Oreochromis niloticus: one gene and its partners. The main gene of each other region encodes a partner of the protein of the gene in region 2 in a complex. Links are inferred from orthologs where the notes say so. Each region holds a gene or a part of one and is shown on either strand. Other genes may lie near its edges.

The links.
Region 1: the proteins of ncapd3 (region 2) and ncapg2 are in contact, whole or in part, in a cryo-EM structure (PDB 9F5W), measured with the Homo sapiens proteins. The link is inferred for Oreochromis niloticus from reciprocal best matches to the Homo sapiens genes NCAPD3 and NCAPG2. Residues at the interface, in NP_056076.1 of Homo sapiens: Glu1213, Lys1216, Ile1217, Pro1218, Leu1220, Gln1247, Ser1250, Glu1251, Tyr1254, Lys1258; in NP_001268861.1 of Homo sapiens: Phe291, Lys332, Pro333, Ile334, Trp336, Lys340, Ala341, Arg342, Arg347.
Region 3: the proteins of ncapd3 (region 2) and ncaph2 are in contact, whole or in part, in a cryo-EM structure (PDB 9F5W), measured with the Homo sapiens proteins. The link is inferred for Oreochromis niloticus from reciprocal best matches to the Homo sapiens genes NCAPD3 and NCAPH2. Residues at the interface, in NP_056076.1 of Homo sapiens: Arg589, Pro591, Met629, Glu680, Arg683, Tyr684, His690, Lys724, Glu793, Asp800, Gln803, Arg804, Arg807, Gln817, Leu820, Gln865, Leu866, Cys867, Pro868, Ala869, Arg870, Val871, Val918, Ile925, Lys929, Leu932, Gln933, His934, Ala956, Asn960; in NP_689512.2 of Homo sapiens: Trp22, Ser68, Lys69, Glu72, Tyr75, Tyr79, Leu82, Asp83, Ser86, Ile144, Ile145, Pro146, Leu147, Leu148, Met150, Ala151, Leu152, Val153, Asp156, Glu159, Asn161, Asn162, Asn163, Pro164, Leu165, Tyr166, Ser167, Arg168, Gly170, Leu173.

Annotation. Positions count from the first base shown.
Region 1 is NC_031974.2:16,400,275-16,410,733, forward strand, and holds the start of ncapg2 (condensin-2 complex subunit G2), read left to right. Parts: upstream 1-5,844; 5' UTR 5,845-6,186; coding exon 6,187-6,264; intron 6,265-8,727; coding exon 8,728-8,910; intron 8,911-9,097; coding exon 9,098-9,212; intron 9,213-9,608; coding exon 9,609-9,766; intron 9,767-9,914; coding exon 9,915-10,049; intron 10,050-10,171; coding exon 10,172-10,266; intron 10,267-10,343; coding exon 10,344-10,459. Other genes in the region: esyt2b (extended synaptotagmin-2), read left to right, coding at 598-950, 1,227-1,325, 1,546-1,677, 3,678-3,783, 3,899-3,948, 4,059-4,128. UniProt on the Homo sapiens protein: Regulatory subunit of the condensin-2 complex, a complex which establishes mitotic chromosome architecture and is involved in physical rigidity of the chromatid axis.
Region 2 is NC_031978.2:31,866,904-31,876,894, reverse strand, and holds the start of ncapd3 (condensin-2 complex subunit D3), read left to right. Parts: upstream 1-5,161; coding exon 5,162-5,247; intron 5,248-8,790; coding exon 8,791-8,950; intron 8,951-9,046; coding exon 9,047-9,215; intron 9,216-9,991.
Region 3 is NC_031981.2:22,673,190-22,682,604, forward strand, and holds the start of ncaph2 (condensin-2 complex subunit H2), read left to right. Parts: upstream 1-4,653; 5' UTR 4,654-4,808; intron 4,809-5,577; 5' UTR 5,578-5,582; coding exon 5,583-5,690; intron 5,691-6,104; coding exon 6,105-6,206; intron 6,207-6,281; coding exon 6,282-6,343; intron 6,344-6,420; coding exon 6,421-6,499; intron 6,500-7,477; coding exon 7,478-7,534; intron 7,535-7,615; coding exon 7,616-7,695; intron 7,696-7,782; coding exon 7,783-7,934; intron 7,935-8,050; coding exon 8,051-8,184; intron 8,185-8,284; coding exon 8,285-8,368; intron 8,369-8,600; coding exon 8,601-8,664; intron 8,665-8,738; coding exon 8,739-8,840; intron 8,841-8,931; coding exon 8,932-8,976; intron 8,977-9,080; coding exon 9,081-9,151; intron 9,152-9,295; coding exon 9,296-9,407; intron 9,408-9,415. UniProt on the Homo sapiens protein: Regulatory subunit of the condensin-2 complex, a complex that seems to provide chromosomes with an additional level of organization and rigidity and in establishing mitotic chromosome architecture.

The DNA of each region.
Region 1 (10,459 bases), on a different chromosome or scaffold from region 2:
TCTCTGCTGTCACGGCATCACCGCGCTGAAAATTGAAGTGAGATTCTGATTCGATTGCTGTTTGTGCTGTAGACGTTTTCACGATGCGCCGCTAAAATTATATCTCTTTGCCTGAGGCACTAAATCCAGTGATTTGACAGTTAGTCTTTGGTGGTTTGCCTCATTGTCATCCATAGCTTAGTTCAGCCTTAACTAAAGCCATTACATACTGCTAATGAGGATATTTTCTCCTGTTCCCATCTGGGAACACAGGAAGCTGTAACAAGCAAACTGCATTGCCCTTCTTGAGACCAAAAGGAAGTATATTATACTGAATCACTGGGATCCAATTAAAAAAAGGAATGCAGCTGCATCAAAATACTGACCTGCTCTAAAACAGTTTCTCCATATTGAAGCACAACCAACATATCAAGACATTCAGAAGAGAAATTAATTTGCAGACTCTTAAAAAAACATAATAAAATTTTTTAAAAAAACACAGTTTAGAAAGGTCTGCTAAATTTAGAGACTTTTCACAGGAAATGACAGCACTTACATTAACTTTAACTTCTTATTTTCTATTCTCAATCGACTAAACATCTTCATGTCTTTCTCTAGATCCTGTCCTTGGAGAAGCAAGTGTCCCCAGACCAGCCTTCTTCAGTCCAGGTCAACAAGTCCGGCGTGCCACAGGCACCCCCAGCCTCGTCCCTGAGACCATCAGCCTCAGATTTGCCGCTGCCTCCGCCCACGCATTCACATCCTATAGGAGCTTCTACTCTCACCCTCAAGGACAGGGACGGCGAGCCGTACGGAGCCAGCCATCGCTCCAGTACCACCAACCTGACCACCGCCATGTCAAGCTCCCAGAAACACCTGCCGCACAACAAGTCCACAGCCAGCCTGGCATCGGATACCTCCCTGCCTATTGCCACCGTGGAGCTTCAGCAAAGGCTTCATCAGCTGCAGAAGTAAATGGCAGATATGATATATTACTTTTATTATTGTTTATTTTCCAGCTTTTCCAGCTTGGCTCATCTCAGGGTTTCTTATTGTTTTTCGATCAACTTCATTTAAATTCTGCTGTGGCCTCCATCTAAATGTCATCGTGATTTTTGAATATTCATCTTTATAAATATTTTATCAGCCTACCCGTCAAACAATTAATCAGTCCCTGTATGCATGCACTTTGTAAACTCGGCCGCAGCGCCTGGACGTGACACTGACTGACTTTGGTGTGTTTATAGTGGCTCGACCCCCAGCCAGTACCCCCTGGGTGAGATCCAGCTGACTGTTCGACACAGCTCCCAGAGGAATAAACTCATTGTGGTGGTGCACTCCTGCCGGTGAGCTCCAAACTGCTACAATACACTGAATTTACACAAAGTGGTTTGAAGGACTTTTTGTTTTTGGGTTCTTTGTGCCATTAACTTGAGTTTGTGCAGATTCATCCCTTGGTATTCAAATCACTTTCTTTCCTGTGGAGCTGCTAACTGTAAAGATTTAACAAGCAACATGTGCCTGGCAACATGTGAGTGAAAACACATTTGTCCTGTGTGTCCTCAGCAACTTGATAGCCTTCACCAAAGACGGCTCGGACCCCTTCATACGCCTCTATTTGCTGCCTGACAAGAGTCGGACGGGGAGGAGGAAGACAAGCACAATGAAGAGGACTCTTAATCCTGTTTACGATCAGACGTGGGTTTGCATCAGTACTTGTTGAGATGCCTTGCAGATTTGTAACGTAATGTGATTTTTGAGGATCTGCTGTTTTGCTTCACCTGTGTCCGATTGTTACAAGCTCTGAGAACATTTCTGCCTTTAGCTGCAGTTATGCTGCTGTATTAATTTGATAACTGGCTGTGTTTTGAGAGTCCTTCAAAGCTTTCCTTTTATTTCCAGTTTTATTGTTCAGTTATATTTTCAGGGTCCTTTTTGAACTCAGACACGAAGCAAGGGTGCAGTTGCGGAATATTTTATTTTTTCTAGCAATAGAGCTATTTTATTACTGAAGAAAAGAGCTTGCACAGACGATATGACCCTGCTGAGCTGAGATTCGTATCACATTCGGCCGCTGTGGATCCATCACCTCAAGTTTCTGTTTGTTTTGGACACTTTTGTTTGCAGTTGAGCTTCAGTGCTCAGACTAAATCTTTTGGCCTCATGGATGAAACCCGATCGCATCATTCAGCTCCTTCGTGTAGGCTGGAGTTAGCACGTCGGTGCTTTCCTAGTCCCGCTGACTATTGATGCAGTTGTATTGATTATCAGCCATCTTGAGCCTGCAGGGGTTTTCAAAGTTTTGATGACTTAGTGCAAACTTAGAGAGCCAGTATGCCCATGTCAGAAACACTTGATGCTGGTTTGCAGTTTAACTATTAGCGGGGGAGGCTGATGAAATTGTTAACAACAGCTGTGCAGTGGCTAGAACAGAAGACTTGAGGTTAAAGAGAAAGAGATTATGGACTCACACAAACACTTAAGCACCTGCTGGCACTTACTTAAACTCCACTGGCACCATGTTGAAATCACAAATCAGAAATACCAACTTATCTGTCTCTCCACAATGTGGTTAGCAAGCCAAACAAACCACGCAAGGCCTCAAGTTTACACTAGTATATGCTGCTTTGTTGTGAATTCAAAGTCAAATAATTTAATACAGTTTGCAAATTTCTTTGACTTACCTTTTGTTTAAAGGACCAGAACAATCCCCATATTTGTCATAGTCTGGCCACGGAGCCATGACAAAGACCCAGTTTCAACCCATTCAATCGCCTGTTTATCCATCCATCCGTTTTTTGCTGCTCTGTTAGTCAAAGCAGTGATACCCAGGCCTCCCTCTCCAGGGCCACCTTCTCCAGCTCTTCCAGATCTCTCCAGCATGTCCTGGATCTGCCCCATTGCCTCCACCCAGTAGGACAGTACACATCATCCATGATGCATCCCAGTTTGATAGTTGAACTATCTCATCTACCTTCTTTTTGTGTGGATGAGTCGCAGCTTTACTCTACCCCCCTCTCAAATGAGCCAAAGGCTGAGCCAGACACCCTTCGGAGAAAGCTTGTATCTGTGATCTCTTTCTTTCAGTCGTTACCCAAAAGCTTGTGACCATACGTGACTGATTAAGCCCTGTCCACATGTAAAACAATTCATTTGTCACACATCAGTTTGTTTGTTGACAGTTGGTCACTAGTGGACATCCCCGGCTCCAGTTTCCTTGGCATCCCTGTACTGTATTTACCACCTTGTCTTATATCAATCGACAGTATCCTCTCATTGGGGGTTACTTTCATGGCTTGCCCCAAAGTTGAGAAAAGTTTAACTTGGAGCCCGTCCACTTTGCGCCGCCAGCTACAAAGTTGCTAAGTGTCTTTGTTTCTGTTCACCACATCGCTGTTAGTCCCCACTCTCTTTAGTCAGCACTGTCTGAATCTTTAGGCAGCCGTAGAAATTGCATGGTGCTAAGTGGATGGAGAGCAAGGTAGCGCAAAGCCTGAGACAAGCAGCTCTTAAATGCAGACCGGCCGGGTGGTCCCATTTACACTGATTAACTTCACCCACCAGGACCCTGCAAGAAAATGCAGAGGGACAAAAGGGAAAACGTAGAGAAGGCCCAGACAATGACCACACACAATCTGGATTTTATGCTAAACATAAAAAGTGTATGCTTATGTTTGTGTGCGTGTGTGTGTTCGCAGGTTTGAGTTTAGTGTATCTATTGTGGAGCTCCACAGGAGAACTCTGGATGTTGCTGTGAAGAATGGAGGGAGCATCCTGTCCAAACACAAAGGGCTTCTGGGAAAGGTATCTCCTGCAGGTTTTCCCTCTAGTGTAGTTTATTACTTTTCCAGCCTTCACTCCAGGTGCTGATTCTAAACATTTCTTGTTCTTTTTCTTTGTTTTTTGCCTAAAATTGCAGGTTCTGGTGGATTTAAGTGGAGATGACATAGCAAAAGGAATCACACAGTGGTAAACTAGCATTTTATGTTTTTCCTGTGCAACATTGAGTTGATTCTTGGGGGTAAAAAAAATGCTAATTTCTGTCCTTAAATATCTAATTTCATCATTTTCTGTTGCAGGTATGATCTAAGTGAAGATGGTTTGTCGTCTCAAGCCACAAAAAGTATCCAAGACCCCGTCGTCACGTAGTGGCACCACCTCTCTGCTGTAACATAGTTATCTTGTTAACCTAAGGGCACATCCTTCTGTTGTATTCATATATAATTTCCATTTAGTTAACAGGAATAATTTCAGCATGTTTAGTTTTATTTTTGTCAAAATTTCCTGTTAATCTTTCATGAGCCTGATTGGAAGATGTTGTAAAATATTTTAATGTGTTCAAACACACTTACTGCCTTGTCTCTGTTTTCAGTGTTTTAATGTAAATATATATAGTTATAAGAATTTGCAGGGGTTTTCATGGCATTATACTTACCTTGGAGGAGTCGTGTTGAAATCTGTCACGATTCTTATGACTTTGTATCCGGTTTGTTAAAATGTGAAGAATTTTCATTTGTTGTCTGAGAAAACTCTAACCAAAGGAATTGATGCACACAAATGTAGGCTTAAGTAGCAGTCCTGATTTGAGATTTTGATTTTCCTTTGTCACCCAGTGTTGATTGATCGCTTACCTCTCGTTATAAATGCTTGATTACGAACATGGAATGCTGATATGCAAAGAATAAAATGACTGCTGTGCTGTGTATATTTTAGGAGATTTGTGCAATAGTGGTTGATTCTGAATGAGACTTGGGGACATTTTAGGGCTATGAGCAAGCTCTGTGCATTATGCAAAGGATACTTGAATAAGGGTTTGACTGTTTTCAAACCAAATGTAAGTTGAAAAAACTGAGAAACATGAACAGGGACAACAGTTTTCGCATTTTATGAGCAGGGCTGCCAGAGTCTGTGTGAAGATCATGCATCTGTGTCATGCTTGTGTATGTTTTTGCCATGCAGTTATGAGTTTCATGGGAGCTGTTAAATACATTTCTGGTTATCTATCCTGTGCCTTAAAAAAACCCACACAAATATAATTTACTTGCCTTCTTAATGTTATTATTTTGGATGGCTTTTGATGAATACATGTTTTATCTTGTGAAAGTTGGTGTGCATTTTTTATTACCCCATTTTCATGTGCTTCTGTGATGTTCCCCAAATTTTGCAACTTTGTTGTGTTTAAAGTTGTGTTTAAATTTGGAATATGAAAATCAAACGGATGATGTCTTGTATTTTGGTCTCGTTTGAACAACAAGATGTATTTGCTAAGTTTCAGGTTGGCTGAAGTTCAGGAGGTGGAGCAGGTCATATGGGAAGGTTAACAAGGACCAGTGCATTTAATCTAAGCTGATATTTTTTTAGATTAGTAGTAGCAATTTAATACCATAATACAAAGGAGCTGGTAGCAAAACGATGCCAAATGGTACATGAATTCGCAGCATTAATCTTAACGTTTACAATCAACTATATATTTACTTTTGACCTGTCGCTTTCTGCGTACCTAAAAAGCAATTAAGGGAATTTCCTAATTGTTTTTTTTTGTTTGTTTTTTTTTATCTTCAGTTGGCATTGACGTGATTTTTTTCGAGTTGTCCTTTTTCCGATTATTCTGAAATCACTTGAATGCATAGTAAATCTAGCAAAGACTGAATAATAAACACTTTGAATTACGATATATTATGTGAGGTTTGGTGTGCGCCTTGCAAAGAAATTTCTCTTGACTGGGGTCTAATCCACAATATGAATCATCCACAGAAAAAGAAATACGAAAATGTCACTCGTTTACGCTTTTTGAGACACAGAACATCTGTAGTGGTTTGCCGCCATCCAGTGGCAAAAGCAGAGAATTGCAACTGTACGTCAGCGTCGAAACAAACGTGATGACGTGTGGAACCGACTTTATCCAAATTTGCGCGGGTTTACTGTTGTTATGGCTTGCTGTCATTTCACTGTTTCCTATTCACAAAAGCCTTACTAAAAAGGTAACGGACGAAGGAAATGCTGCTTAATTCAAATGCGCATCATTGTGAGCCTTAATACCACCCAACCCGGCGTCTGCAATTAGCACTTTTGACGGTAACGACAAACGGACTGCCATATTTGTTGTTGTGGAGTTGTTACAGCGAGACAAGCTAACGCTACAGCGGCTTCATAGCAGCATTACAGGAAAACTTACGGTTACCTCGGATCGCTTTGGAAGCAGGAATCATGTCCAAGCGAGAGGCATTTTTAGAAGCAACCTGTAAAGAAAATGTGGAGGACTTTCTTCGCTTTATTCAGCTTCACGTAAGTAGCTAACTCAATGCGAGTTAATCCTAAAACACCCAGAAGCGTCTCCTGTTTAGCCTCTTTAACACAGCTGTGAGCTGTAAGTAGTACAGGAAAGTGTTCAAGTCAGGTCCTAAACATGAGATGCAAATAATATGGTTGCTGTGTTCACTATTAAATGCTATTTAAAGTTTAAGATGCGGAGTGTACTCATGGGGGGTTATAAAAAAAGGAGTCCAGTTATTTGAAAATGCTTGTTTCGATCCCAATTTTGACAAACTGTTACTGTCTGTAAAGTAAGCATTTTTCCCTCCTACATGTTTTTTTTTTAATACCCACCAAAGAGGTTTTGGCTTTACACCAAAGGAAAAGTCACCAGGACGACGATAAAAAATCTTTCAGACTATTTTTTAATAGGCTTTGATTTAGTCAAGCATAAAATATATCAGAAATATCAAGAAAGTGCACGCACTCCTGTTCAATAAGCTAAGACAGACTCATCGTGTTAAGTCCTGTTATTATTAGGTACACCTTGCTTTTGCCTTCAGAAATGCTTTAATTATTTGTGGCAGAGATTTAAGAAGATGATGGAAATATTCCTCAGAGATTTTGCTCCATATTGACATGACAGCGATGCACAGTTGCTTTAGATCTGTCAGCAGCACATCCATGATAAGAATCTCTTGTTCTACAACATCTCAAAGTTGTTCTATTGGACTGAGATCTGGTGACTGTTTGGGACATTTGAGTGCAGTGAACTCACTGCCATGTTCAAGAAAGTAGTGGGAGGTGATTTGAGCTTTGTGGCATGGCAAGCAGCCATCAGAAGATGGGGACACTGTTTCCATAATTGGATGGAGATGGTCATCAACACGACTCCAGTAGCTGTGACATTTAAACCATACTCAACTGAAGCTGATGGGTCCAAAGTGTGCCAAGAATATATCCCCCAGGCCATTACATCACCAGCAGCCTGAGCCATCGATGCAAGGCAGGATGGATCCATGCTTTCATGTTGTTTATGCTAAATTCTGACCCTACCATCTGAATGTCACAGCAGAAATCGGGACTCATCAGATCAGGCAACGTTTTTCTGATCTTTTACTGTCCAATTTTGGTGAGCTTGTGCAGATTGTACCCTCAGTTTCTTGTTTTCGGCTGAAAGGACTGGCAGCTGGTGTGGTCTTCTCCTGCTGTAGCCCATCTGCTTATGGTATGACGTGTGGTGCATTCAGAGATGCTCTTCTGCATACCTTGGTTGTAATGAGTGGCTATTTTACTTACCGTTGCCTTCCTATCAACTTAAAGCAGTCTGGCCATTTGCCTGTGACCTCTGATGTCACCAAGGCATTTTCACCCAGAGAAATGCAGCTCACTGTAAAGCCTAGAGATGGCTGTGTGGTAAAATCTCAGCAGATCAGCAGTTCTGAAATACCCAGACCAGCCCGTCTGGCACAGACAACCACGCCAGATTCAAAGTATTTTAAATCACCTTTCTTCCACGTGCTCATGCTCCGTTTCAACTTCAGTGGTTCATGTTGTGTGTCTACATGTCTAAATGCACTGAGTTGCTGTCATGTAATTGGTTGCTTCACAAGCAGCCTGGGAAAAGGTACAGGGAGGAAAACCCCCAAACTGCAGGATACAAAGTTGATGTCATGCAACGTTAGTATATAAATATAATTTAAGCCCAACTTTAAAGCAGAGACGCTCTGCCCTTCCTGAATCCAGCTGAATGCTCTGCAAATGTACTCTTTTATAGCTGTAGGAGGCCTGTACTCTGAAATAAAAGTGCTCAGTTTTACACTGTGAGGTCTTTAAAATGTGATGGAGCCCAATGATTAAAGGGTTTTGAATGTGAGGAGGACAATTTTAAATTCTACCTTTGGTTTAACAGGGAGTCAATGGAGAGAAGCCAAAATGAGAGAAACATGACCTTTCTTTCTACTTCCTGTCAGTACTCACACTGCAGCCCGAGCTGAGGCTTTTCTCAGAGTTATGTCACAGATGGATAGTAAGCAATCACACCACGCAAGTCCACAAGTGTTACAGAGAGGCAAGGCAAAACCACCCAGCATAATTTATTGATAATAAGCCTGTTTAACCCTCATGTATAGTTCATATTTGATGGCTTCGCAGTATAATTTGGGTCAATTTTGACTGGAGCCAGGGATTAAAAAAAGGAAGAAATTTGTCCTAAACTAACTCTGACTCAGCCTGGTGAGAAGTAAATTGTGGATTTTTATGGAGAGATAAAGGATGTGCTGAAAGGTATAAATAAAATGTGCATAATAGCATCCTGATCATCCTGTTCTCTCAAATATCTTGTTTTAATAAACATGGAGGTCACAATTGACATTGGAATTATAGTTTGATTAAACAGACAAAAATCATTTCTTCAGGTATTATATTTTTATTAAATGTACAAAACATGTGGCTGTCCAGTCAAAGCTGTGCCTGTCTGTCTATAAATCTGAGCAGAAGGACAAAGCTGAGCCCTTCGATGTGGAGGAGGTGTTGCAGGAGATGCCCAGAGAGCAGAGAGAGGCCCTGTGGAGGAGACTGGCATCTCTGCTTCGGGACATCCTGCTGGAGTTTCCACCAGAGCGCTGGGAGGGCAGGGGGGAGGAGGAGGACATGCAGGAGGAGCCCACTGCAGACTCTGTGAGTAAAAGGATCAGCTCACTGACCCCATGCTTAGTCTTTGTCAGTGATATTATTCTAATATTAAGAACTAGATGTATGCAAAGCACTCCTATGTTGATGTTTGTAATATCACATTGCTTTTAAGTTTTTTGACGTTTTGCTTAATTGTATTTTTTAACATCTGGTGCATTAACTTTTTTCCCAGAAACACGCTGTGGCTGTTGTGGACGGCGTGACGCTCGTCTCTACAGTGTCTCTGCAGGTTTTACAAGACGATGACCCCTATAGCCCCCTTCTGGAAATTACCCGACGTCTTCACGGTGAGTGTTTATGTTTTTTGCACATTTTTATAGCAAATGAGTTGCATATGATGCTCTTCCCATTCAGATAGATAGATATTTATACCTAACTTATAAATATGTACATTATAGAGCTTTGATTATCCTGTAAGAGTAGAAAACAGCAATTATAAGTACCAATCCATTTACCAGTTATGAAAAAACAACCTGAGAAACCATCATAATTGCTCAGTTTATGAGATGAATCGTGGACGTTTCAGTGAAAATGCTTTTATTCTGCAATGAGGCCAGAAAGTCACATGTTTTACCTTTGCAGTCTAATTGCCATGTGAGGATCCTTGCCTTTTCAGAAAAGCTTAAATAATAATAAGCATCTGTGTGTGTGTGTGTGTGTGTGTGTGTGTGTGTGTCCTTCAGATGTACTGGTGTCGCTTCCTGTCTCAGAGGCACCTCTGCAGAACCACATCCACGCACTGTGTGAGGCCTGGTGGAAGAAAGGGCTGCAGGAGAAAGAACGGTTTGGGCGCACGGCTTTCTTTGTGTCTCTGCAGAAGAGCTTCATTCTCAAGAAACCAGTGAGTGTAACCCCTCAGTCACATGTCAGCTCCTCAGCTCTTTCAGCATGTTTTCACTCTGAAAGAAATGTTTTCCATCAGTAGCCAGTGCGTCTCACAGCAGTCTGCTGATAACTGGTAACCTTTGTGATCTTTTGTCTCTTGTCAGGGAGCTGAGATCCAGAGAGTGTGGAGGCTCCATGACGTGCTTTTGAGTCTTGACTACACATCAGAAGAAAACAAGCAGATAATCGACTTGTTGCTTCAGTGCTTTCACCGCCCTGCTCACATTAGAAACGATGATGTGAGTTATGCTCAGCCGCTGTGTGCTTGTTTTCACGATTCACTCCCTGCTTTATTTATTTATTTTTATCATCGTGGCTTCCCTCTCGAGCTGTCAGTCTGATGATGTGTATATTGTCACAGGGAAAGCGATTCCTGGTGTTTCTTTTCAGCTGGAACATCAACTTCATCTGGGTTATTCACGGCACAATCAAAAACCAGCTGGAGTTTTACAGCAAGTAAGAACCCCACTCTTTTCTCGCCGACACGCTCACTTTTCTTTTCATGTTAATAACAACTAAACTCTTCCATTCAGGCCCATGACTACTCATATTGCAGAGATCTACTTCAGAGCATGGAAGAAGGCTAGTGGGGAGTTCTTGGAGAAGATCGAGAGCTTATGCATTCAGGATTTTATGCAGAACGCGATCT
Region 2 (9,991 bases):
CACACACTTTTGCAGAGTCCAACTACAGGAACAATCAAAAGGGGAAGGTTTTGTTGCTTCCCTGCAGTGCTGAGACATCTAGCATCACTTAACAATTGGAAGTTGTAGAAGCTAACTGTCCCAACTGCCAGTCTTGGTAGCTGGGGATCAGTCCGCCAGGGATTGAGGGATTTCCACAGGTCTTATACAAAACACTACATAGAATGCAGCCCTCAACTCAACAAGATAATGAATGCAAGATTATCATTTCACCTATATATAACAAACACTATTCAAAATAAGAAATTTTACCAGTGTCACCAGACGTTGAAGCACGCCTGTAGGTTAGGGATACATATTTTAACCGTATCACTTTAGTAATAGCAGTATCACTTTGTACTTGGGTTAGCTTCACAAATTTGTCTTATGCTCTATCACACACAGTGGGGCCATTGTAAGTTCATGGAGGATGTTAAACAGATAGTGAGACTCCTGCTTATCAGGGATGTAAATCTTTAGGTGATGCTAAGCAGAAAACAAGGTCATAATTCTCTCTGTGAGGTGTAGCCCCCGCCCCATGACATGGGCCAACATGTAAGGGTTGTGGAACGCCGTAGTCTGTGTGTGTATATAAGATGTGAGGGCGGCAGCCATTGGCAGAGATCACCCTAGTGTTTGGCTGGGATGTTTCTCTCCACTTTGCAATGTGTTTATTAAACCACTTCAAATCACGCTCACTGCAGGTTATTGTTAAAACTTCCATAGCATGAGGAAGCTGGTTCTGGCCTGGTGGCTCGTGTTGGAGCCTGGACATTTATTTCAGCTGACTAAAGGCTTCTGTTTAATATGTGATTCTTCTGTGAGATATCAGGGAAACTGAAGCTGAAGGTTGAAAAAATAATGTTACATGTATTTGATGAATAAAATTATTTTGAAGAATAAACGTGTCATGCTGTATTGTCCCTTTGCGTGTGTTTGTCAATAGATAAAAAATACAATTTATATAACAACATATGGCACGGTCTCATGGTTATGTAATTATCCCATGGACAGATTTGTTTATATATATTATTACGTATATGTTTAATGTATTTTTATGTATGTTTTAGACCTGGGGGCAGAATTGCTTATGAACTGTTTTTTATTTAGGAACAGGCAGAGCGTTCTCACTTCCTCACTGGCTCATGTATCTCATTGTGTTGCACACTGGTTCACTAACTCTCGCACAAAATCACCAAAACACAGCACAAATCCTGCCATGATTCACTTCTTTATAAACCAGTGAATCGGTCATTGAAGCAGTGACATACCGAATGATATGAGTGGTCACGTGACTCTGTTCAGACTAACCAGTGAAGCAGTGTGTTGGTTTTTCATTACACATGCGTCGGAGCTTCAGCTTCAAACGGATCATCACTACTTACTGTGTTTCCAGTCAGTGAGGTTTTCTAGTAATAGGTTTTTTATTTACATCACCATGGATCACCAGCCTTTATTCAATAAACAGCTCACTATAAGTCTGTGTCGTCTCTATTAACACTGTAACACATGCAGACCCACGACGACATGGTTCAGATATGAGGAGAAAATGAAGTCAGTCAGATGGACAGGAAGCTCAAACTCTTTAAAAACGTGAATTCAAAGTCCACCATAAGAAAGCAAGCAGCAAAACTTTATTTATACAGGCAGAAGCACAACGTGCTGCTCAAAGCAGAAGCTAGCACAGAGGAGAATTTAAACCTCAGTAGACAGATTATAAATAATGATCATGTGATTCAATACGTTATTCCAGTATTAAAGGTAAAAGCAGCTTCAGTTATATTGTTGGAAACAGACGCTGGTCCCTGATAACCTGAGGTGTTGCTCTTAAACCTGTAGATGCGGTTCAGCATTAATGGAGCTTCACATATTTCCTGGTTTGTGCACTAATAATGAGCAGCCCAGACACTTACTGAGACCCCAGACTCTGCTTCTTAATCAATCCAATTTCCTGCTCAGCAGGTATTCAGAGTCCAGGTTTTAATGAGAGACACTTTCAGAACTAAAGTCCATTTTAAAACACACCTCACATGAAGATCACAATAATGACGCTATCAGTGGTCTTTGAGAGTCATCGTCACAGCTCCACAGATTCTTTAGAAGTCTGTGTTCCTTCACAGTAACTTCAGGTCTTTGGAAAGGCATCGATCCTCCTCACAGAGAGCAGCAATCAGAAGTGAGCTGGCTTCACTTCCTTTTCATCGCACCATGTCGATCACGTCTCGTGCTTTATCTGCCCTGCTCTGCTGTGATCTGACTGATTCCATCTCCTGATCATTGATAACACGCTGCTGCAGGAGTTTATCCAGAAGTTTGTTTAAAACAGATTCAGACACTCTTTCAATAAACCGTGAGCGAATTATGAACAGCCTCTCATCTGCCGGGACTCGGGCTTCAGCTGCTGGGACTCCGGCCTCTGCGGGGACATTCCTCATTAAGCTTTCTGTTCTTGGTGCTGAAGGAAAAAGATAATGTAAAAGACATTTAACTGCACTCTGAACTGCAGATGAAAAGAGACTTAAGTATGATTTCAGTTAACTTTTATTTCACTAGCTGGGCCCACGTCCTCAATTTAGGTTTGACAGCGTTTTGGTAGGTAAAGGTGAATGCTTGGACATGAACTGAGCTGCGGTTTGGGGAAGGCCTCGAAGGGGACTGGCGACGGCTCCCGGGCCTGGCAGATCCCCAAAGAAGGCATCCCCTAGAAGCAGAAACAACTGTGCGATATGAAGGTCGAAGACGTCAGCGGTAATAAATAATAATTTCGATTCGACTTATTTATACTGCACTGAGCCACAGTAATGAACGCCTCAAGACCCTGCAATGATCCATCCATCCATCCATCTTCATCCGCTTTATCCGAGGCCGGGTCGCGGGGGCAGCAGCCTAAGCAGAGAAGCCCAGACCTCCCTCTCCCCAGCCACCTCCTCCAGCTTATCCGGGGAATACCAAGGCGTTCCCAGGCCAGCCGAGAGATATAATCTCTCCAGCGTGTCCTGGGTCTGCCCCGGGGCCTCCTCCCGGTGGGACATGCCCGGAACACCTCACCCAGGAGGCGCCCAGGAGGCATCCTTGTCAGATGCCCGAACCACCTCAACTGGCTCCTTTCGATGTGGAGGAGCAGCGGCTCTACTCTGAGCCCCTCCCGGATGGCCGAACTTCTCACCCTATCTCTAAGGGAGAGGCCAGCCACCCTTCGGAGGAAGCTCATTTCTGCCGCTTGTATCCGCGATCTCGTTCTTTCGGTCACTACCCACAGCTCGTGGCCATAGGTGAGGGTAGGGACGTAGATCGACCGGTAAATTGAGAGCTTCGCTTTTACACTCAGCTCCCTCTTCACCACGACGGACCGGTGCAGCGTCCGCATCACTGCAGCCGCAGCACCAATCCGTCTGTCGATCTCCGGCTCCCTTCTCCCATGACTCGCGAACAAGACCCCGAGATACTTAAACTCCTCCACTTGGGGCAGGAACTCATCCCCGACCCGGAGTGGGCACTCCACCCTTTTCCAGCTGAGAACCATGGCCTCAGATTTGGAGGTGCTGATCCTCATTCCCGCTGCTTCACACTCGGCTGCGAACCGCTCCAGTGCGAGCTGGAGGCCTTCACCTGATGAAGCCAACAGAACCACATCATCCGCAAAAAGCAGAGATGAGATTCTGAGGCCACCGAAGTGAAAGCCCTCCGCCACTTGGCTGCGCCTAGAAATCCTGTTCATAAAAATTATGAACAGAACCGTGAACAGAACCATCACCCTGCAATGATGTGTACAGAAAAACCCAACAATCATATGACCCCCTATGAACAAGCACTTTGGCGACAGTGGGAAGGAAAAACTCCCTTTTAACAGGAAGACACCTCCGGCAGAACCAGGCTCAGGGAGGGGCGGGGCCATCTGCCGCGACCAGTTGGGGAGAGAGAAGGAGAACGGGTCAAAGACAAGCGCGGGGAGAGCGAACGTCGCTCCATGGTGTGGAGTGGATGAGCTCAGACAATTAGGAAGGAATGGCAGGAGAAGAGATCAAAGGAAATCGTGAACAACGGAAATCTTAATAGATGAACGAGGGGAACCCTCAATCATGTAGCGACGTGGCTCAACTTTGAGCTGAAGCTCTGACAGAAGAATGCTGGATTTGAGATTTGAGGTAAGGCTTGACGGCTCGAAAAGCTTGTGTGAGCTTGTCTTTGAGTAGAAGATGGAGAAGGGGTGCTTAGCTGGTTAGTTACTTCAGAAAAGGCAGCGATAACAACTGAGCTGATTTCTGAATGAACAGAAGTAACAGCAGCAGCTTGGGACGAGTTAATGAATTGAAAGACTGATTAGAGGAAAATAATCTCTATAATAATAACCCCCAAAATCGTCCGAGAGCAGAGTGCAAGTCCACTGGACTTCGTGGGAGATAAGCTGTTTAGACGCAGTCAGAACCGTGAGTCGACTTAGAGAGCAGTCTTGAATGATTGTGTTGAGGGTGGATGCCTGATGATGCTAGTGAAAACACATGAGAAGTGAAGGGACGCCATGAAGAATTATGCGCACGGCGCAGTTTGGATGTCTTAAAAAGAGCGATAGAGGACAGAACCTGGCATCCCGGTGCCACGAAGGTTCGCCGGTGCTTTGCGAAGGCAGGAAAGATGGCAGCGAAACTGGTATCTCGGGGTTTTGGGGGGGGGGGTTTGCACAAGTGACTGATGGCAGAAGCTGCCAATCCAGTACCAGAAGGTACCGTAAGGTACTGGATTGGCGCCAAAGGGAACGTCTGCTGCTTAGCATGTGTCTGCTGCTTAGCATGTGAGGGCTAGATGCAGAGAAGCTGACTTCCCAGCGGTAGAAGGTTTCACTGCTGCGTTGCTGTGATAAATGCAGAGAAACTGGCAACTCTATATTAGAAAGCGTGCTGCTGCGTTTGCGAATGAGGGATAAAGAAGAACCAGGCATCTCGGTGCCAAGCTTGCTATTGCATTCGTAAAGGAGGAACAGAGGAAAAGAAGCTGACATCCTGGTGCCGACGCTTGCTACTGCATTTGCGTGGGGGCATAGAGGAAGAGAACCTGGTATCGAGGTGCCAGAGGGGTTTAATACTGCTTTGCAATAACGGATGCAGAGAAACTGGCAATGTGGTGGAAGAAGTTTGCTGCTGCGATTATGAATGATGGATATAGAAGGAACCAGCTAGAAGGATTCTCTGCTGCTTTTGCCATGGTGGATGGACAGGAACTGGCAACTCAGGGGTAAGAAGCTTGTCTCTGCAGTTTGCACATGGCAGATATAGCAAGAACCTGACACCATGGTGCTAGAAGGGTTTGCCGCTGCTTGCAATGATAGATGCGGAGAAACTGGCAGTTCAGTAGTAAGGAAGCTAGATGCTGCATGCAAATGGGGGATGAAGGTATATCTGGCAACCCGGTGCCTTTTTATTTATTTATTTATTTTGTCTATGCAGAGAACTGCCAACCCAACGGTAGAAAAGCTGCTGCTGCTTTTGCGAATGAGGGACAAAGGAACCTGGCAACCCGGTGCCGATGTTTGCTGCAGAGTTTAGCCGAGGAGGGATGAGAGGCTGGGAACCTGGAACCTGGCAACTCGATGCCGAGGTTTGCTGCAGAATTTTGCAAAAGAGGAATGAGTTGCTGAGAACCTGGCAACCCAGTGCCAACGTATGCTGCAGAGTTTAGCCGAGGAGAGATGAGAGGCTGCGAAACCTGGCAACTCGGTGCCGAGGTTTGCTGCAGAATTTTGCGAAGGAGAGATGAGTGGCTCAGAGCCTGGCAACCTGGTGCCGATGTTTGCTGCATTTGCTATGGAGGGATGGGGTACTGGCAACTCTGTGCCCCCTTTTTTTTCTTCTTAACTATGGTGAGAAACTGGCAACCCAATGGTGGAAAAGCTTGCTGCTGCTTTTGCAAATGAGGGAGAAAGGAACCTGGCAACCGGGTGCCGAGGTTAGCTGCAGAATTTGCAAAGGGGGAATGAGTGGCTGAGCGCCTGGCAACCCGGTGCCGATGTTTGCTGCAGAAATTTGCAGATGGATGGGTGGCTGAGAACCTGGCAACCCAGGGCCGAGGTTTGCTGCAAAGTTTAGCAGAGGAGGCGTGGGAGGCTGAGAACCTGGCAACCCGGTGCCGACGTTTGCCGTGGAGTTTAGCAGAGGAGGGTTGAGTGGCCGAGAACCTGGCAACTCTGTGCCGACGTTTGCCACGGAGTTTAGCAGAGGAGGGATGAGTGGCCGAGAACCTGGCAACTCGGTGCCGAGGTTTGGTGCAGTTTAGCTGAGGAGGCGTGGGAGGCTGGGAGCGTGCCAACTCTGTGCCAAGGTTTGGTGCAGAATTTTGCGAAGGAGGGATGGGTGGCTGAGAACCTGGCAAGCACGTGCCAACGTTTGCTGCAGAGTTTAGCAGAGGAGGGATGAGTGTCCGAGAACCTGACAACTCGGTGCCGACGAGGGATGGGTGGCTGAGAACCTGGCAACCAGGTGCCAACGTTTGCCGCGGAGTTTAGCAGAGGAGGGATGAGTGGCCGAGAACCTGGCAACTCTGTGCCGACGTTAGCTGCAGAATTTAGCCGAGGAGGCGTGAGAGGCTGGGAACCTGGCAACTTGGAGCCGACGTTTGCCAGGGAGTTTAGCAGAGGAGGGATGAGTGGCAGAGAACCTGGCAACCCGGTGCCATGTTTGCTGCAGAGTTTAGCAGAGGAGGGATGAGTGGCAGAGAACCTGGCAACCCGGTGTCATGTTTGCTGCAGAGTTTAGCAGAGGAGGGATGAGTGGCAGAGAACCTGGCAACCCGGTGCCATGTTTGCTGCAGAGTTTAGCAGAGGAGGGATGAGTGGCCGAGAACCTGGCAACCCGGTGCCGATGTTTGCCGCAGAGTTTAGCAGATGAGAGGTTGGAAACCTGGCAACTTGCTGCCGAAGCATACTGCATTTTGCCTCCGAGGCATGGAGAACCAGCTCAGTGCCTTCGTGTGTGTGCGTGTGTGTCGTCTTCGCTGAGAAACTGGCAGTTCGGTGGTAGGAAGATTGCTGCTGCGTTTGCGAATGGCAGATAGGGAAGAACCGGGCATCCCAGTGCCAACTTGCTTAAGCATTTAGCGAAAGGAGGATGGAAATATCACAACGATGGAGAACGGTAGAGAGTATGGAGCTAGCGACAGATTTTCAGCTTGCATTAAATGGTGTTAGTAGGAAGGAGTACAGAGCTGAGCTTCCCCCTGCTATCTGGCGCTGGTGGGTGGGTGGAGCTACGAAGTATGCTGTAGCTTTTGCTGTTGGAGCTGCGATTTGTTTGGAAGCGTGGGTTCGGCCTGACGCCCATCGGCTTTTCGGCTAACTCGCCCGGTCTGTGGGCTGTGAGTTCTGCTGACGGGCGACCCCACTGGTTTTCACTGACGTGGCGGGTGGCCGGAGTTACTTCATGACTGGATTTAGAGATTTAGAGAAACTAAATCTGGATGGATGGACGTAACAGACTGTATGTCTGGTACCGTGACATTCGGTGTGTTTCAGGGATTGCCGGAGGAAATGCGATGGATGCAGAGCTTGAGTAGTTGTTCGTCTGACGCGCTGACAGACAAGAGGGCGATTGTAGCGAATGGAAGGGTGAGTAAAATTACGTTACTCCTGAGAGATGAGCTGTGTTTAAAGGTATTCACCGAGAATGGACCCAAAGCACGTACAAAGCTACCTAGATCACTTAAATTACACAATTGAAAGCATATGTATGTTGTTTGTGTATTTATACACAAACACTCATATATATTCAAATAATTAAAAAAAAAAAAGTTCATTTACCTGTTACTACCACACACCAAATCCGGTCGTTGGTACTTCCTGGCTTGTAGCCACTAGGTAACAAAAGCTCAACACTGCCTCTAGCATCCTGGAGCACTTCTGTTGTGTTTTAGAGTTTGTACGTGCTTTGTCTCTAGGGGCCACCATAAATATACTTTTATTTATTCACTCCACATTAAATGTAATAAATAAATTATAAAATACAAAAAACTACTATGTACATTTCAACTTTTAACTATTTACATTTTCAGCTTTTTCCTTTTAAAGAAATTTAAATTGAAACAACACAAAACACTGCAAACCACAACACAATAAAATATAAATTAAAATATGCAAAATCAAAACAATATTCACATTCTCTGTCATATGGGCCTGGGATGATTTTTTGGGAGAATGTTTTCCTGCTTGGAATTGCATACATAGGATTCACTGCATGAATAAACTTTCTGAATCCTTTATCATCCACAACTAAAAATAGTTGTGGATGATTACTATACCTTTCTAATGTGATGATGCTGTCTCTTGTTGTTGTCCCTGGCTCTCTTTCTCTCTCTCTCCCTCCCGCTCTGTTCCTGTGCTACTGCGAGTGTAACTACCGCCCCTCCCCCCTCTGCTCAGCGCAAGCACAAGGCTCACGTGTGGAGTGAAGCAAAAAAGTGGCTTGCGTCATTCACTACAAAGATCCGGATCTAAGAGCTGTTTCGTTCGCGACCGACATATCACTAATAATAACAACTGTACTGCAGTAAAACATTCACAGCAGGTGGGATAGACAATATTTAAATGCTGACCTGAGGAATCCTGCTTCCGGGTCCAAACTACTCTGCATTTATTAAGGCTGTTGTGTTTTTAACATGTTTTAATGCTTTATATTTTGTTCTGTTTAATCTGAACAAGCCCCTAAAAACAGTCAGTGATCACTGTCGGCCTTCCTCGGTTTTTATTACCACTGTTCATTTTAAAGCTCCGTTTTCAAAACCTTACAGTACAGATGATGGCGGATTCCTCTTCACTCACGTCTTCCTCCGACAGTTGCCGGTGCGAGCTGGCCTTGCCAACTCCCCGCTGCTGTCAACGAAGGATTACTTCTCACTCGCAGAAGAAGCAGATCGCATTTTCCTGGGAATCAGGAGCTTTGGCATCCAGGCGATAATTCACAACTCACCGACGGCATCTCCCGGCGGAAAAGGGCTGTGTTTTTACCATCAGCGGAACAGCGCCGTGCCACGTTTGCAGTTTTAAGGCCCAGGGAAACGAGCCCGCCAGCTCTTTGTGGCAGCTGCCACCGCTGGCGATAAGGAACGGCTGCTCTTCATTGAGGACTTGTGCTCGGAGAGACGTTTTCTGGTTGACTCTGGCTCCCAGAAGAGCCTCGGGAACTCTTGTGTCGTCTTTGCATACCTCCACAATGGTATATCATTTAATTTTTAAAAAATTGGAGATTTCCCGTGTACCACCAGAGAAAACCCAAGCACCACTAGTGGTACGTGCACCACAGTTTGAGAACCACTGATGTAGAGTAAGCAGAGTTCAGACACAAAATGAAATGTCTCTTTGTTACGTTTTATTTAAAACGTAACAAAGAGAGAAAAGCAAAATGATGTGTGACATGTAGAAGAAAACAGAAGAATACATGAAGCATGCACTGGGAGGTTAATCATTTGAAAACAAAAAAAACTTATGACCTTCTATTTCACTCATTCCATTTTCAGGAAAAAAACATACTGTACCTTTCAGGAAATATGGTCTTTACTTAGCAAAATGTAACAGTACTAAGTAAAAGTCCTAAATTGTTAGTTCATTTTAGTAAAAATATGTAAAAATGTAATATCATCAGGAAAGTCTTGATGCATGCTCGGTCATCCAGGTAAGTAAATCCTAAAAGTTGATTCTGTTCATCTGGATGTGGGAGAAACGTTTCCTTACTCATCCAAGTCACTTCTTGAGTCCATTGATCAACAACCATTGATTTGATTGGTTTTTGATCAATCATGACAATTTGCATATTAATGCTCAATGAACTGACCTCCCGGCCCATTGTTCATTCAGTGGTGCTAGTTTCAGTCATTGTGAAAATGTGCTGTTTAGAAGATTGGAAACCTGCAGTCAGGTGAGACTGAAGAAGTCACCTGGATGAGTGACAACATTTTGCATGAATACAAAATCTCAGCCATTGGGAATTTTAAC
Region 3 (9,415 bases), on a different chromosome or scaffold from region 2:
GATGAAGGCGTCACCTGCATGTGTCTTTGTTTCATTCCGAATCATCTGCTGATTAAACAGATCAGACCGTGTTCACTACAGCACGCCCATTTTCCACGAGTAAACAGCGCTGCTGATGTCTCACAGCAGCTGGACCACCACCCGAGGTTCTCCCAGTCTGGTGGATTTGTGGTTGCTGGTGTGCTTTCTGGTTTCAGGTGTTCTCCTGGAAGTGAGTAGAGTGTGAGGATCTGCTCTCTCTGCTCTCTCTGTGTTAAGCTGAGGTATTACAGGATTACAGGTAATACCCATCAAGCTTTGCTGTTCCACACACACACACATATACACACATACATTCCCGTTTATGTGTTTGGAGAGGACCTTGTGACCCTCTGAGCCACATCTGAATCTAATAAATCAGTGTTTTTCTGTTTGAGGTCATTTCAATGCAAAGAGTGGACTGTGCTGTTTTTGAATGTCTATATGAATAATAAGAGCTTTCAGTGTCAGTTTGATGATGAAGAATTAGCCACACCGCCCTTCTTCTTTAATTAGTGAATGAATGCTGTTTAAGGAAATGTTTGACCGGATAACCATAAAACCAGACTACAGTACAGGACCAGGACCTGGCAGAGTCCCTGTTCTGCTCCACTGGATCTAATCTGTGATTAATGAAACAGAGAAAGAGTCTGAGAGCTTTAGATGTTCCTGAAAGAGGTGCTGGACATTAGGCAGATTTAGGCATCACTGAGAGGACTCTGACACTGATGATGGTACTCATCATGGAGCCTAAAATTTAGCTTTTACTGAGTAACCACAAGATACTAAATGAGCAGAGAGACAAGCAACACGACCAACACCATAAAAATACATGGAGTTGAGTCAGAAACAAGTGAAACAGCTGCTGCTCCCCTCCAACAAGGTTAAACACATTTCTGGATCCTGAGGGTCTGGACCTGGATCAGGCTGTCACACTCCCAGCAGCACCACAGGAGCCTGTTTGTCTTTTAATATATTGTACATTAAAGTACAATGAATTAAAATATTACTGCTCACCTGTGAATAAATGCATCATATGAGAGTCACTGATATAGCTTTGAACCATTTTGTGCTCTGTGATCTGAGATCCCATCACGGCTTAGAGTTGCAGCAAAGTCTGAAACTCACAGACTTCTCTCTGAGGGCTGCCCGGGTTTACTTTCATCCACCTGAGCAACACAACATCCCTTGAGAAACCTCATGCTCTTATTTTGAAAGTTGAATTGCTACTAACGAGTTTCCTGCAGGTAAACTGATGTGAGACTCCTTCTCCGTGTTGGTGGAGGTGGTTCATTTTTACTTTTAGTACTCTGGGGCTGGATTGAGAGGTACCTGCACAACTCCTGCTGCACCTGTGTTTCTGAGAATGTACGCCGTGAGGTCAGCAGCAACAACAGCACGTCTCGGCCAATAGAGTCACACCTTTACCCAATCCTGACAGGCGTCAAAAACAGAGGGTTCTAACGCCTGAGAGGCTCACTGTCGGTTTGAGGAGCTTGTGGTGGTTTCATAAACCATCAGCGCTGCTCCCAGTGGATTGTGGGAGCTAAAAGGGAGGGAGGGGACCAGTGACCCGTGCTGTCATCCAATCTCACGGCTGCTCGCTGAGACCTGGAAATTGGGGTGAAAAAGGGGAGCGGGTTTAACCCTGATGGGTTTTTCCAGCCAATCAGCATGCCTGACGGGAGAGTCGTGACCTCAGCATTCTCATATTCATCTGCACGCGGTCAGTTTGAGCCATTCAAGGCAGCTGATGTATGTGACTGCAGTGAGGAAGATGTGAAACACACACACAATAATACACGGGGGGGGCCACCACGGAGGGGCAGAGGTGCAGATTATCCGATTGGACCGTGATAATACTCTCTAGAAACTTCACCATCTGTACGCTTGTGCTTCACACTTCCAGTGTAAGGACCAAGTCTTCACACAAGTGTTTCCCGTTTCCCTCATTTACTTCCTGTCTTATTTTGAAGGGTAGCTCCTCGAGTGATTTGTGGTGTTTTTATGTCTTCTTCCTGTCCTGGTTTTTGGCTGTGACTGAGTTCACCTCTTCCTTGTTATCCTCCCTGTGCTGTTCGTATTCCAACAAAACACAAAAAGAAGAAGAAGAGACTGAAACTTTGGAGTCAAAGGTCAACATTTAAACCCAAAACACAGAAAATACTTCAGTGATGTACAAGTACATTACACTTGAGTAAAAGTGCTCAGTTACACCACTGATCCCATCCATGCTCTTTTCCAATGGGAATTAAATTAACAGGACTGACGTCCAATGGCATGCCACGGGTGTGTGTGCTCTCACCCTGCACAGACTTCTTAACTGAAAATTTTGTTTTAACAGAGTCCATTCACAGAACTGTTCCAGCAGTAATCAGAGTACAGCGGGCATACCGTTGGTGTAACCTCTGAGGAGGAGGAGCGTGCTGATCTTCACTCCACTCACTCGCTGAGATTCACACCTCCTCATTACCTCATACCACTCGCTCCGCTGTCTCTGACATCCATGGCAGGTGTTTGGAGGTCAGAGGTGCAGACTCCTCCTCCTGCTGTGGAACGTGTTCTAGATACCAGACTGTATATTTAAGATGGACATGATGTAACCCTTGAGTTTCTGGTGAATTACCAGCAGCCTGTGTCACCATCCACCTGTCAGTCACAGAGGCCACGCCCATAACAATGCAGGGTGGGAGCCTCTGGTGGAAGTTAGAGGAACTGCAGCTGTTCAGGTTAACGTGCTGTGAACTCTTAATGATTATTATTATAATGCTGATTAGATTTACTTGTGTGCTGACACCATGAGTTATCAGGTGATGTGCACACGGAGGTGTTTGTGGGGGCGGAGTCTCTGTGCTCACTGTTGCTACGGGTGTGATGGAGCGCAGCAGGCAAATATGACTGTGACACATGGCTCAGCTTCACCTGCAGCTGAGTCCAGGATGTTCTGCTGCAGAGTCACACCTTCCTCTGACAGACGCTCTGTGTTATTAGCCAAAGACTGTATGTAAAGGATGGCTGTGCGCCACAGCAGCGCTACCTGTTAGTCTGTAGCTTTTCTGAGACATTTTGTGTTGGGCTAAGAATGGCGTGCAGCTGCTGGCATTTCAGTAATCTGTTGGCGCTCCAGTGGAAGAGATAAACGATGAAGAGGAGCGCAGTGCGATGGGGATGGGGTGTTGCTGGGAAACCTCTGCGTGCATTGTTTTCTCTGAGTTTATCAGAGGAGTATTCTTCATAATCACATGTGGCCAGATGTTTTCCACAAGTGTTCCTCCTGAGCCGTGACGACGTTTGCGTCCTTTGTCGTCTTGTCTCTGTTGGGAAAGTAAAACAGTGGGACTCCCAAGCAGCATGTACACCTCTGAGGAGGAAAGACAAGGAGGAGGAGGAGGGCGTCGTCTCCTGGATTAGAAATCCGGCTGTTTAAATTAGGAGTGTTAAATTTAGGTTCTGCTGCCCCGTCATCCTCCTCTCAGAGGCATTAATTACAGCTGTCCTCTCAGACTAATAATACTCACTAATGCTGCTGCAGGAGGAAGAGGAGGCTTCCTGAGACCCAGCATCATCATCATCATCATCATTGCTTCTTAATGACATCACCTGCTGTTTTTGTAAATAAAGTTTTATTAAATCACAAAGAATAACTGGTTTCATGTGTGGAGGAAGAGTCACACACACACACACACACACACACACACACTCTGAGGACGACCTGAAATCAGATCTGTGTGCAGAGGAAATCTCATCATGTTTCCATCTGCAGATATGATTTGTGATGGTCAGAGTTCAGACCACGGTGTGCTTCCGATGATGTCACGGCACACGGCTGCATGGCTCCGCTCACTGCTTGTTTTGTTTCATGCCCAGGTAGTCAACATTTAAACTCTATCAGGTCGAACCAAGATGATCATATTTTTATGTGTCCTTCACATGGCTTTGATTGTCTGCACGAGGGCTTTTATTCTGAAAGTTAGCCAGATACTCGATACTCTTCCTGCCCTCCTCACCTGTTGGTGGATTGCGAGTGTGGTCTGGAGCAGGAGTTTCAGGCTCAGAGGAGAGCAGAGACCTCCCTCAGTGCACTTCCTACTCCACAGGGGGCGTTCTCAAGCTGCAGACTTGTTCATGGTGTTCGCATTGAGCACTAGAAGAGTGAGATGAGGAAGAGTACACACATTCACGTCAGTATTACGACTTCTCACTTCATGGTTTTATTTTTTCTAAAAGATTATCCAAACAGCTTGTGATTATTTTTTTTACTTATTACTTAATTGATTATTTATTTTGTTTTTTGTTGTTGCTTTGTTGCTTTAGGATTCTATAACCTTTAACCCTACACTAGTAGTGTAGCACAGGGTTTTATTTAGCTTGTTATCATGTATAAACAAAAATGAAACAGGGGCTTTAAATACTGTGATATTACAAAATAATTCCAATGAATGAATATGGTTTTAGCCTGATATCTGCAGATATAAATATGAAATATGGAGTCCAAATTCTCATTATTTGACTTGGCTTTGCTCTTGCGCTGTTTTGCGCATGTCAAATTATTTGTATTTGTTATAAACGGATCCCAAGGTGCAGGCAGCAGCGCGCCCAGTTTCTTTAAACTGCAACGCTGCCATCTAGCGGCCGGCAGCCTGCATCACACCAAGGCACCGCCAGGGGGCAGCACGCGGAGCTGCTACACAGACAAGAGCAGCGAAGAAGAAATTTAACGCGGGTACTTTGAGTGTTGTGCTAACGGCTACAAACAGTTAGCCCCGGTGTGGCTGAGCTCAGGGTTTTCGGTAAGTTTCTCTCTGATTTTACTCCTTAAACACCGTCGCTGCTTCATGTTAGCGACACCTGCTTATTTTCAGGTATTTCTCTTATAAAAAATGACCAAACTGAGCAGTTAAATGAGCCAAGTGTTCAAGCGCTGACAGCTGCAGTCGCTTAGACGCTCCGCCACACTGCGTTGATAATTCTGACATATCTGAGTTTCATTCGGATTGATGTAAAAATCGACCTCACAGAGGATTAGTTAACACGGTTTACTAAACAGTGGGATGTCCCGGTATATTCGGCGTTAGATTAAGAATAAGTTAATTTGTTAAGTTTATCTTTTAATCACAGGTTTAACTACAGCGATTAAAATAATCACATTTTTGAACGTACTTTGGTTTGATTTCGTTCTTTTTTTATGTCAGTTTTTGCCGCTTTCGCTCGTAGCAATTATCACGCTGTTTAATAGAATTCACAGCTGCGATAACGCAGTTTTGTTTGATTTTGAGGACAGATGAATGCAAAGAGTTCACCATGAAAACTGATAATCGATACTTAAATCGATATGTACAGTCCAGCTGTAGCTCTGCGCTCGGATCAACATTACAGGCTTTTATGAATTTACTATTATATCAAATTTGGGCTGAATGAAAGTCATCTTTGCTTGAGTTTAAAATGAGAGAGTGTTCCATCTGCAACTCAGAGCATTGCAGAGAAACGAGCTGCTTAAAGACGGAGTGATGTTTGAGACCCCGCAGGATTCACAGCCTGTTCTGGTTCTACCTGTTTCAGGTGAGATGGAGTCCACAGAGAGCCGATACGCTCACCTGCTCCAGCCGATCCGAGAGCTCACCAAGAACTGGGAGATCGACCTGGCGTCAGAGCTAAACGACTACTTAGATGAGGTAACCTGAATCCGGTATTCAGATTTATTTTTACCACAGAGGCTCTTACTTTGATAGCTTTCGTCCTCCTTACAAACTGACACGAGACAGCAATATCTGTCTGCATCAAATATGTGGTCCATACCCCAAAACAGGCTCACCTACAGGTTCAGTCTGGCTACCTGGGTTCTTTGTAAAGAGTAAAAGCAGCAGAGAGAGGGTGTCAGTTTTAGCAGTAAGCTCTGCAGTACTTCTAATGCAGACAGAAGAAGACAGAGCTGTAATTGGAAGGTAACAACCACTTTTCAGGCAAATTGCTCTGGGTCCAGCAGCTTCAGGTGATCCACAGAGACACAAACGAGTATCCAGGTGGGATTTCAGTCAGTCACAGCCTGAAGGAGTGAAGCTGAGTAACATCTGTCTGTGTGTCTGCAGCTGGATGACATGTGCATCACCTTTGATGGTGGGAAAACCCGGCTGAACTTCGCAGAGGCTGCGCTGCTCATCCAGGGTTCCGCCTGCATTTACAGCAAGAAGGTGAGCCAAACACAAGTCACATGACCCCGCCCAGGCTGTGATGGAGTCATGTGACGGCATCTGCGTCTGTTTCAGGTGGAGCTGTTGCACAGCCTGGTGTTCCAGACTCTGGAGTACATCAACGACAAGAACAAGAAGTAGGCATGACTCCGCCCACATGCTGGTTTGATTTTCTGCTGTAGGTTCACGCGTTATCTTTGTGCTCTCCCGACAGACGCAACAAGCAGGCAACAGAGTCTCAGGAGGGTGATGGCAGAGCAGCGAGCAGTCATGATGCTGACAACTTGGAGGAGGTAAAAAAAAGACCAGGCAGCTTTTATTAAAGATGGTTCTTTACCTGAGAGAAAACTTCCAGAGTCACATTTCGTCCCTGATTCGATTTTCAGCTTTCATGAGGCTGGTAAAGGCTTCATTCATTTAAACACACTGGCGATAAAGTGCTTTGAGATCTGGATGTTAGACTCAAAAATAAACCGCACCAAGGAAAAGAAGTATAAAATGTTTCTGTTCAAAAAAACTAATTCAAAACTGATAGCTGACATTTTTTTATAGACTTCAAAGAAAGTCTATGAAACATGTTTTCAGAGGTGATTTAAAGGAAGCACCTGACTCTGTGAGCCTGGTGTCATTAGCCTGCTTGCTCCAGAGCCAAGGTCTTCTTTAACCCTCAGAGACTGCAGAGTGAGCCGAGCTGTAGAAACAATCCGGTCCTGGAGCAGACAGGAAGTCAGGGTCAGCTGGAACTGAAGCGTCTGAGGTCACTGAGTGTGAAGCTGTTTGGGTGAAAATGTGGCATCTGTGTTCAAGAATATAAACAGCAAGTTACAGGGGACCTGGAGCAAGCCCTGAGGTACCCCTCAGGTAACGTGAGTTAGCAGGGGAGAATGAAAGCAGGCACAGAGTCAAGGTTTTACTGTTACAGCCATTCTCTAACAATGCTCACAGGGCGTTCGGGGTTACATAGTCACTTCATTCAGTCACTGGCCATATCATATTCAAAAAATTAGAACCTTAAATGTAAAATATTCTTTATCGTGATCATTAATTATTTTATTTTAATTATTTATTATTAATGATCTAGATTTTTCAGTTTCAACCTTTAATCATAAAATATAAAATAAACATTGACCTCAAATTTTCACAGAAATTCTTTTTAAATATATATTGTGTCATTTTTGCCTTTTTATTTTTCCTCCTTTTTTGTAACTCTTTATCCTGTCGAAGTCAGTTGTGCTCAGGTGTAAATGAGTAACATCATTTGTGTCCTTCAGTTTTCTGTGTTGGACCTGGAAGGGTCGGACCGATCTGAGAAATCTGATTCCAACACGGTGAGTTTGATTCTCTGAGGTCAGTTTACCTGCAGCTCGTTCTGGCCTCTGACCTCTGCCTGTGACCTCTGACCTATGCAGACTGTGGACGTGTCGCCTCTTCCTCCTGAGTCTCTGATTGCACCTGAAACCCACGAGAAGAAGAAACTGCCTCTCATCAGGTCAGTGATCTCGCACAGCAACTAAATGAGAGCTAATCCCCGCTCCCCCATGATGAGGTCTCACCTGGTGCTGTGCCTGTGTGTCAGTGTGAAAGGTGAGATCCTGTGCAGTCAGAAGGACTTCAGGATCAACCTGTTTGTCCCAGGTGAGGGCGACATGATCCTGCTCACATTCAGATCAGTTGCTTCCACTTCCCTGGCTCACAGTGACTCCGCTCAACTAGAGACCCAGCCCCCAGGTACACCTCACCTCACCTGTTCAGTCCTTCATGACACATTTCCTCCTGCTTTTCTTCCTTTTTTTTTTTTCTTCTTGACTTTCACTACTTTGGTTTCTGATTTTTGACTGCCTCAGATGCTGTGGTTCCAGTGGATGCTGAAATGGGCAGAGCTGATGCTGAGGAGGGTGGAGGAGATGCAGCAGACGATTTCCTCCCCTTAGAGTTGGACAACATGGAGCAGGAGGAGGAGCATGTGGACAGATTGCAGGTGGAGGAGATTTCATCTGTTAGAATCACAGAACAGTTTCAGCCACCACCTTTTCATCTTCTTTTTCTTGTGTAACTTCAGTGTCGTTGGTATGTTTCAGGCTCCGAGTGATGGTCGGATGATCCGAGAGAGGCAACAGCTGGAACCCAACAAACCGAGGAGAGAGGAGCCAGTTCCTCCTGCTGTATGTTAATCTCCTTTAATCCCCCAGATTGCAGCTCAGTGTTCGCTACAGGAGCGTTTATTTTCCTCTAGTCAAAAATCTCACAAACATAAAGCACAACAGTGCTTTTATTTTGAAAAAATGAGTTTTCATAAAGCTCCGGTTACTCATTTTGTTTTCTAACTAGATTCATTAAATTTTACCTTTTTACTAGAACTTCATTATGAAACATCTTTGTGTTTTTTTTCTTCAGGTGAATGTTTGGGCGTTCCATGACCCATACGCCATGCTTGAGGAGGACAAACCGCTGAAACCAGGTAACCATGGGGACCGTGTGGCGTGTTTCAGTGTTCAGTCTGCTGGCGCTCACAGAGTTTTGTGTCTTCTGCAGGAAAGTGCTACAGAGTTCCCGACGGGCTGGATGACTGCGGGAAGAGGAAAAGGAAACGAGCCGCTTTCCTTCAGGACTTCAGAAGCTGGTTCAGAGGAACCTGTAAGAACAAACTGCTTGAAGCACTCATGTTCTTCGTGTGGACCCATTATCTGTTAACATGTCACTTCTTGTTTGTGTTTGTTTGTTTCAGTTGACCCTCCAGAGCACAAGTTGAAAAATGGACCCACATTTACAGGTAACAATAGACTGAAAACGTTTCTGTTCAGAAAAAAGACTTTTAATCTGAAGATTTGAATTTATACTTCCTGTTAAATGAAGCTGAGACTTCCTGTTTTTCAGACCTCAACTACATCTACCTGAGCACGATCAAAGACAAACTCAAAAATCAGAAGAGGATCAACAGAAGAGCCGTAAGACGCACACACCATCATCCATGCTGACATCACAGTGATGTCAGCAGTGACCTCAGCTGCAGTTCAGGTCGTTTTATCAGGGTCAAACTGCGTTATCGTCAGATTATGACTCATTACTATCACATTTATTATGTCACTCAGGGCGTGACGATGTCTGACGAGGAGCTGAAGAGGACCTTCCTACAGCCAGAGGAGGTGGGGCCTGGTCAACTGGGGGAGGAGCCTGTGGAAGAGTTAAGACAGGACCTGCTGGGTAACAGT